Linked DNA regions of Canis lupus familiaris. The protein of the gene in region 2 interacts with the protein of the main gene of each other region in a pairwise test. Links are inferred from orthologs where the notes say so. Each region holds a gene or a part of one and is shown on either strand. Other genes may lie near its edges. The genes, in order: SPP1 and UBQLN4.

What was found.
Region 1: the proteins of UBQLN4 (region 2) and SPP1 interact in a two-hybrid assay, tested with the Homo sapiens proteins (2 studies listed by BioGRID and IntAct). The link is inferred for Canis lupus familiaris from reciprocal best matches to the Homo sapiens genes UBQLN4 and SPP1.

The regions. Positions count from the first base shown.
Region 1 is NC_049253.1:28,635,777-28,640,095, forward strand, and holds the start of SPP1 (osteopontin), read right to left. Parts: upstream 2,824-4,319; 5' UTR 2,683-2,823; intron 1,580-2,682; 5' UTR 1,569-1,579; coding exon 1,515-1,568; intron 1,405-1,514; coding exon 1,366-1,404; intron 1-1,365. UniProt on the Homo sapiens protein: Major non-collagenous bone protein that binds tightly to hydroxyapatite. Appears to form an integral part of the mineralized matrix. Probably important to cell-matrix interaction.
Region 2 is NC_049228.1:41,755,804-41,759,620, reverse strand, and holds part of UBQLN4 (ubiquilin-4), read right to left. Parts: intron 1,426-3,817; coding exon 1,200-1,425; intron 165-1,199; coding exon 25-164; intron 1-24. UniProt on the Homo sapiens protein: Regulator of protein degradation that mediates the proteasomal targeting of misfolded, mislocalized or accumulated proteins.

The DNA.
Region 1 (4,319 bases), on a different chromosome or scaffold from region 2:
TGGGATTGAACTCTGTGTATCTTTTAGCCTAAGCTCCTCAGGACAATGCCCATTTGTTGTTTGGCTGGCACAATTTTACCTATTTTGGAGGAGCATGTACATCTATGGTGCTGGTCAAAGAGTTATAATAAAGGGTTTTATTTGGTCTTATGCTCGGTTAGAAAATTGTTATCTAAAGTCAGCTGACAAGCATAATAGATCCAAACAGCATAAAAACCTTTCTTTTTTAATGGGTTTCTTAGCAAATATCTTAGTAGATATTATGAATATTGTGGCCATACAAACTATCCAGTATGTGAGACAAATTTTAAACTTAAAAAAGCGGAGGATCCCTGGGTGGCTCAGTGGTTTAGTGCCTGCCTTTGGCCCAGGGTGTGATCTTGGAGACCCGGGATCGAGTCCCATGTCAGGCTCCCTGCATGGAGCCTGTTTCTCCCTCTGCCTGTGTCTCTGCCTGTGTCTCTGCCTCTCTCTCTCTCTGTGCCTCTCATGAATAAATAAATAAAATATTAAAAAAAATAAACTTAAAAAAGCATGGATGGAATTTTCTATGTCTAGTACAGTATGTTGACTCATGGAAAGAAAAATTCACTTGACTTCCTAGAATTCATTTTATATAAATGACAATGGCCTAGAGCATTATTTTATTATATAAAAGAACTAGTTTGGTGTTAAGAGCATATATTTACTAAAAACTACACAGATCTTCCTCAATTTCCAATGGGGTTATGTCCTAATAAACCCATTGCAAGTTGAAAATATGGTGGGTCAAAAATGCATTTAGTACACCTAACCTACTGGGCATCATAGCACAGCTTAGCCTACCTTAAACATGCTCAGAATGTATACATTAGTTTGTGTTGGGCAAAAGCATCTAACACAAAGCCTATTTTATAACAAATCATCGAATATCTCATTTAATTTATTGAATACTGTACTGAAAGTGAAAAATGGAATGGTTGTATGCATACAGAATAGTTGGAAGCATATTGGTGTTTACTCTTGTGATCCCGTGGCTTGGCTGGATGCTGCAACTCACTGTCACTGCCCAGTATTACAAGAGAATATTGTACCATACATCACCAGGCCCGGAAAAGTTCAAAATTCAAAATTTGAAGTATGATTTCTACTAGCATATGGCTTTCCTACCATCGTAAAGTTGAAAAACTGTAAATGGAAGCACTATAAGTTGGGGACCATCTGTAAGTGTACTTAGCAGGCCTAGATTGAAAGCAGCAGTCAGTAAATACTTATCAATCAACAGCAAGACTATGAAGATAAGTAAAATGGCAACAAATATGTTTGTAGTACCTCTTGTACAGCTGCATATAATTTAATTACATGATAAACCGAAAAGATGCTTACCTGCTTTTCCTCAGAGCTCCCAGAATCAGCGTGCTTAATCTTTGAAATAGAAAAAATGAACAAAGAACAATGTGAATGTGTTCCTAGCACAGGGGAGCACACAATTCATTTATTTTGAGAAATTTCCTTTAAGATGCAGCTGTACTCACCGGAATGGCGTAGGCAATGCCTAAGAGGCAAAAGCAAATCACTGCAATCCTCATGGTGAGTTTTCCTGCAAAATATTTTATAAGGAATATTCGGTTTCTTTGTAGGGTAAAACAGTCATACTTCTTTATGCTACCACATCACAAAATCATTACTAATAAAATATATTTTCTGTAGAATACTTTCTGCCTTTTGGAGAAAACTCTTGTTTCAAACACTATGTTCTTTTGAGTTAATATTTGTAATGCCACCTCTTTATCTCTCACTATTAGGCAAGGGAGAGCGGAATCTCCCAAGTCTATATTCAACTTTAAAATTTAGAATTCCAGGAATTATATCATTACTCCCTGATAGCTCCAGCTATCTCAACCTAAAAACAGATCATTAGTAATTTAACTAAAATAATAAGCTAGTGTTGGAATCTTTATTTCTCAGAGAAGAAAAACACAAAGGGGAAGAAAGAAAATAGAACTATAGAAAGAAACTTGCTTTCTCCATCTTTCCAGCGTGCATTTTAAGTGTGATTTATAACTGAAATTATTAAGAAGGTACCACTTAGATAAAATGAGGCTGTCTCAAAACTCAGTTATTTAAGAAAGGCATTCTAGAAATTTGAAACAGAAACCAAAACATAGAAAATAGTCAACAGCTTTTCTATTCATGATAATAAGTCTAAATAGTGTCATACAGTTATTTTGGTGAAAAATCTAACAGCTAAATACAGAAGTAAATTATTCAGAAGGTTTTTCTTTTCTCTTGAAAATAGGTTGGATACATTAAATCATTAAAACATAGCATTATTATTAGCTTACATTACCACTAAAGATTTTTATCCCTTTAAATGCTTCCACAGCCATCTACCCATTTAAATTAATGTATATAGTTATTTGAAAGGGGCATAGAATTTTTCATTTTTTTTCCTTCTGATTGGAAGAAATAATTTCAGTTCTTTTGAGGACTCAAAGTATTTTTGAGTCCTATAAATGACTGGCTTTTAAAATAACCAGTTACCTTTCCTCCAGGAAATCTGTAACGTATCCCCATGCTCATTTAAAAGCCTAGAACAATTCAAGTCTGCTTAACAGCTTTACAGTTCAATTCCTTTCCTCACGACTTGCCCTTGCCCCTGAAATGAAGCTGAATACACGGGGTAGTGAACTGCGGGCTTACCTTGCTCTGTGGCTGGCTGAGAAGAGAGCCCAGTCTTGGACGATGCTGCACTTCTCTCCTTCTCTTGCTGCTGACAACCAGGACCTCCCAGAATTTAAATGCTGCTCCAGACATTCTCCACCAACACAGGGAGGCGGAGAAATGTGTCATGAGGTTTTTTTGCCACTGCCCAACCCACTTGCTCCCACACTTCCCCTTCTGGTTTTTGTGGTTAAAAAACAAAGAAGCAAACACACAAACTATAGTTAAAACATTACTTGTGTACGATATCATTAACTAGCTTTTTCATTTATGGGGTTGGCATTTAGCATGGTGGAAGGGCATCTAGGGGTCCTACAAAAAAGTGGGGAGGAATGACTAGTTCTTTGAAACAGTCTATAATTTCTGAGCTAGAAGAAAAAAATATTAATATTAAATTAGTCTTAAATAAAATGGAATAGACTTTTGTTTCTTTCAGGTTAAATAGCAGATTAAGGTCATATATGCAACCAAATTTGCCTCACAGATATACTTGTTTAACAGGTGCGAGGCTATCTCTCCTTCAGGTGTATGAAGAGTTCAGAGAGGCCCCCTCCATCCTTCACTACTCAAGCTTGGTATTGTGATTTCAAGTATATAGCAGCTTGTCATTTAGACAAATGACATTACTAACACTAAATTCCATGTTCATGCCCATGTTCAAGTTGGATTTACGATGACCCTTCAAGGACATGAATTTTTGTTGTGCTGTTTGAATTGTTTGGAGGTGGTGAATCAGATAATTTGCTATACAAAATAGAAGAATGGTAATTTACTGTATATACTGCAGAAGTAAAGTAGTTTCTGACTGGGAGCAGTGTTACTGCTTGAGAAGGCTGCTTCTGGGGCCAGAGTGTGGCTTTGAGTCCTACACTGCCACCATTAGCTGTTTGACCTTGGGCAAGTCACTTAGCCTACCTATATTTGTTTCCTCATCTGTCAAATACACACGCTATTATCTAGCTCATGAGGATTGTGAGAAGTTTGAATGAATTAGTATGTGCAAAACTAACAACACTTGGCACATATTATATGCATATTTGAAGCACTGTGTGTGTTAACTATTCCTGAAAGTTTTGGAGAAGCAAGTAGTCATCATTTGTAATATCTTTAAGTGGAATAGGTTATTAGAATGAGGTTAGATGTATGATCTTTAAACTGTGTACATCAATAAGGTAGTTTTCATATCACTATAGGAATAGATTGCTCTATGAATCATTTTTTTTCCAGTTTTTCTCCCACGATATATAAAGGTTTTACTTAATAAATAAAATAAAATTAAAAACATTTTTCCATATTAAAAAAAACTTTACTGGGTATTTAAAAGGTATTTAAATAAAAAAATTACAGGTGACTTTGAATATCAGAACAGAAATTAGAGGTAGCATAGCTCTGATTCCATTTTAAATATTTAATATTGTTTTGAGATTACTTAATTTTCATCTACTTTTCTCAGTTGTGAGAAATGAGGGTTGCAACTATTCATTTACCTCACACTTCCATTGTAAGAATTGTGTGCGAAGTGAGATTAAAGATAAATGGTCCTATTTATTATTAGTTCTGTCTAATGTGTCAGCTACTATTTACTGATTGCTGTTCTTAATAAAAATATGAATTAC
Region 2 (3,817 bases):
GCTCCCCTTGTGGCAGCTCCATACCTGAGCAGCAAAGTCGGGGTTCTGAGCAAGCGTCTGCATCATGCTGCGCATGTAGGGAGCTGAGATCACGTTCTGCATCAGTTGGGGGTTTTCAGAGATCTGCTGGAGGAGGGCCTGCATCTCTGGGCTGTTGAACACCCCTGGAACGAGGAGGAAGTCAACGGAACGGAGAAAAGGGGTCCAGATGGAAACCAGATGCCTCCCTCCGCTCTCCCTCCTTGCAATGCTGGGTGCTTCCAAAACTCAGAAGGGCAGCAGGAGCACGGGCTCCCAAGTACAGGGGCAAGGGTCCCTGTGGCTTTGGGCCAGCCCCTTCCCAGCTGCTCTGCTAAGGACAAGCTAGTGGGAAAGTGGGTCTCATTCAAGCCCCCCAGGCTATTCCTGCTGAAGGTCAGGGTTGGAAAGGATCTGATAGAGGTCACCTAGACTCATGGGTTGCAGACTCGTCTTAGTGGCAGAGGCCCCTTCCTCCAACCAGATCCCACTCAAACATCAAATATGCCAACAGTTTGGTTAAAGCCTGGCAGGATGCCTGGAGCACCCCCACTCGGTCCTTCCTCCTCCTGAGGATGGTCCAGACTCCCCAGGACTCAGGAGTATAATTTTAAAGCCACGGATCAGGTTCAAATCCCTTATTTTACAAAAAAGGGAATTGAAGCACACAGAGAGGAAGGGACTTTCTGATCACAGTGTCCCCGCGGGGGTACACACAAATCAAAGACATCCCCAGGGTCACATGTACGATCGCAATCCAGATAAATGGGGCTTCCCCAAGGATTATGCAGTGTGTAACCCCCACTTCTATCCAGAAAAGCTCTGCACATCCCTCTCCCCCCGGGCCTCCTACCTGCCTGCCCCAGGCGTGCCCCAATTCCTCTCCCACATGCCCCTCCCCAGGCCAATCCGTTTACACTGGACAGTTCCAGCAGGGCTGTGAGAGCTCTGGAAGCAGGGCCTGCTTTATTGGTGAGCCATCACTCAGGCTACTTCCACGACAGGAGGACACAGCCCAGTAGAACCCTTTCGTCCTCTGAGGGGTGGAGCTACTCCCCCAGGTGGCTTCAATCCGGTCTCACCTGTCTTCAGTATTCTGGAGCATCGTGAGCCCCAATCAGTCCTGGGGCAGAGGGACTCCCCTGGTGACCCCACTAAGCTCCTTCCACCCTAGGACATACCTGACCCCAGGCTAGCCGCATTGATCCCAAAGGGGTTCGAGACTGTCGGGTGCACCTGGCTGGTCCCCGATCCTCCGGTGCCCTCCCCCCCGGACCCGGGGGCCTGGGAGGTGGGGGGCGAGGGGCTCCAGGGGTTAGGGAGGGGCTCTCGGTTTTCAGTCCGCAGAGGCTGGGAGGACGAGCTGTCGGAGTTCCCGGCCAGGGAAGAGAAGGGATTGTTGCCAAACTGGGAGGAGGGAAAGGTTCTGGGTTAAGGGCTGAAACACACCAGGGGCAAGGGCTAGGCCCTCTGTGTCCTCTCACCTAACGGCTTCCCCTCCCCGGGCAAGGGAGAGGGCTCTGAGACCCGGGAGGCCCTGTGCTCCAGTCCCAGCCGCACAATGGGCAGCTACCCCCTCGTCCTGCAGGGTGGGACCTGGCCAGTGCTGATCACTGGGTCACCGTCTCCCTGGTGGCTCTAAACACTGGTCTCTAGTGTCCTCTGTGCCTGATGGTACTCTATACACGCTCTCCCCGCCATGTAACGACACAGCTGTCTTCCTTAGCTCCTCAGGGACAGAGACAATGTCATCTATGCTCCCCGCCTGACCCCTCTCCTGACGCGAGTAGGTGCTCAATAAGTAACTGTCGGCTTGATGGGAGCTGTGACCTGCCCTGACGCTTCCCCTTTTTGAGCCCTCTTGGTCCCACGGACTCTCCAGACCGTCCCCTCCAGGTCCCCTAAGTGGTATTCTATGTACCCAGGCACACACAGAGGAGCCCATCTCTGGCTGAACATGCCTCACACATGTCTCCTCCTCCCCAGCCTCCTTCCTTTCCCTCAACAGGCCCCCGCTTGTCACCCACTGCACCCCGTTGTGTGGTGTGCTGCCCAAGGCAACCCTGAAACATCCTCTCTCCGGATCCTTGAGCACCCAGGAAAGAGCTCTGTCCAGGGGTGTGTCTGCTGAAAGAGTCTACACCCTACTTCCCTGCTCAGGCTCCCTTTCCTGAGGTCCCGGATGGTCCTCACTTGAGCAGCTTCAGCCCCTCCTCACCAGGGGGTTTCCTGCTCATCAAAGTGGGTCATGGGGCCCAGAGCTCACCCAGGGCCCTCCAGCTCTGAGGTGCACTTCCTCCACCTGACCAGATGTCTACTGAGAACAGGCCAGCAGGCCAGGGTTCGTGTACCACACGGCCCCAGGCTGTCCCGGTTTCAGATATCCTGTCCTGATGACTCACCCTGCTCCCACCACCACTGGGTTCTGCATCCTGCTGTGTTTCTCAGGACGCTCTATGCACCGAACCCCTTTCTGACCTCCCTCGAGCAATAACAGCTGCCACTTATTGAGCACCTACTATGCACCTGGCACGTTTATGCTAATGTTTACAATAGCCCTCCAATATACCAGTTCTCAAAGTGTGGTCCTGGGACCCCTGCGAAGCTTAATGCTGTTTTTATAGTTCTGAGGTGCTATTTCCTTTTTTTCACTTTTGTTGTCTCCGTGAGTGGTCAGTGGCCTCTTCTAGAGGCTATATGACACATGACATTGCAATGGACCAAATGCAAAAGTCAAGCTGGGAGTCCAGCTGTCCTGAAGTAAGCCAGACATTAAAGAAGTCTGCAATTTTTTTTTTTTGAAGTCTGCAAAATTTAAAACAATGCCACTCTCCGCTAAAGTTTTGTTTAGGAAATTAAAGTTATTTTTGAAAAGAATACGCTGTTTACATTAACATATAGTGGATTTGCACTTATTTTAAAACAATAAATAAACACTCCTTAGGTTTCTCAGTTTTAACTTCTGATGCAGTGAATATTGATAGCTCTAACCCAGAAAAACAAAAGCTTTTTGGGGCCCTCAATAATTCCTAAGTGTATAAGGCAGTCCAGAGGCCAAAACAATTGAGAACCACTGCTTTAATACATTGCCTCCAGTTTGGAAATGTGAACACTAAGACTCAGAAAGGTGAAGCACCCCACTTTCGCCTGCACACTAAACGTGGCAGAGAAAGTATTTGAACCTCGGTTTGCTGATGCCAAACCTCTGTTCTTCCAGCTATTATAGTGGGTCGTGCAACTGAGCCTGCATCAGAATTAGCCAGAGTGCTTGTTATATAATCCATCCTCAGCTCAATTTCTTTTTAACCAGATGCATGCATTACTTTGATATACATTTTATTTTTTTTTAAGATTTTATTTATTTATTCATGAGAGACACACACACAGAGAGAGGCAGAGACACAGGCAGACGGAGAAGCAGGCTCCACACAGGGAAGCCCGACGTGGGACTCAATCCTGGGTCTCCAGGATCACGCCCTAGGCTGTAGGCAGCGCTAAACCGCTGAGCCACCGGGGCTGCCCTGATACACATTTTAAACTAAACGTTTAAACATAATTTAAAATAAAATATTTTTTCTTTATATACCTTATTAAAATAAAGTCTTTTAAAAACTCATAGCTGTGATGCCTGGGTGGCTCAGCGGTTGGGTGCCTGCCTTCAGCTCAGGTCATGATCCCAGGATCCAGGATCGAGTCCCGCATCAGGCTCCCTGCGAGGAGCCTGCTTCTCCCTCTGCCTGTGTCTCTGCCTCTCTCCCTCAGTCTGTGTCTCTCATGAATAAATAAATAAATCTTTAAA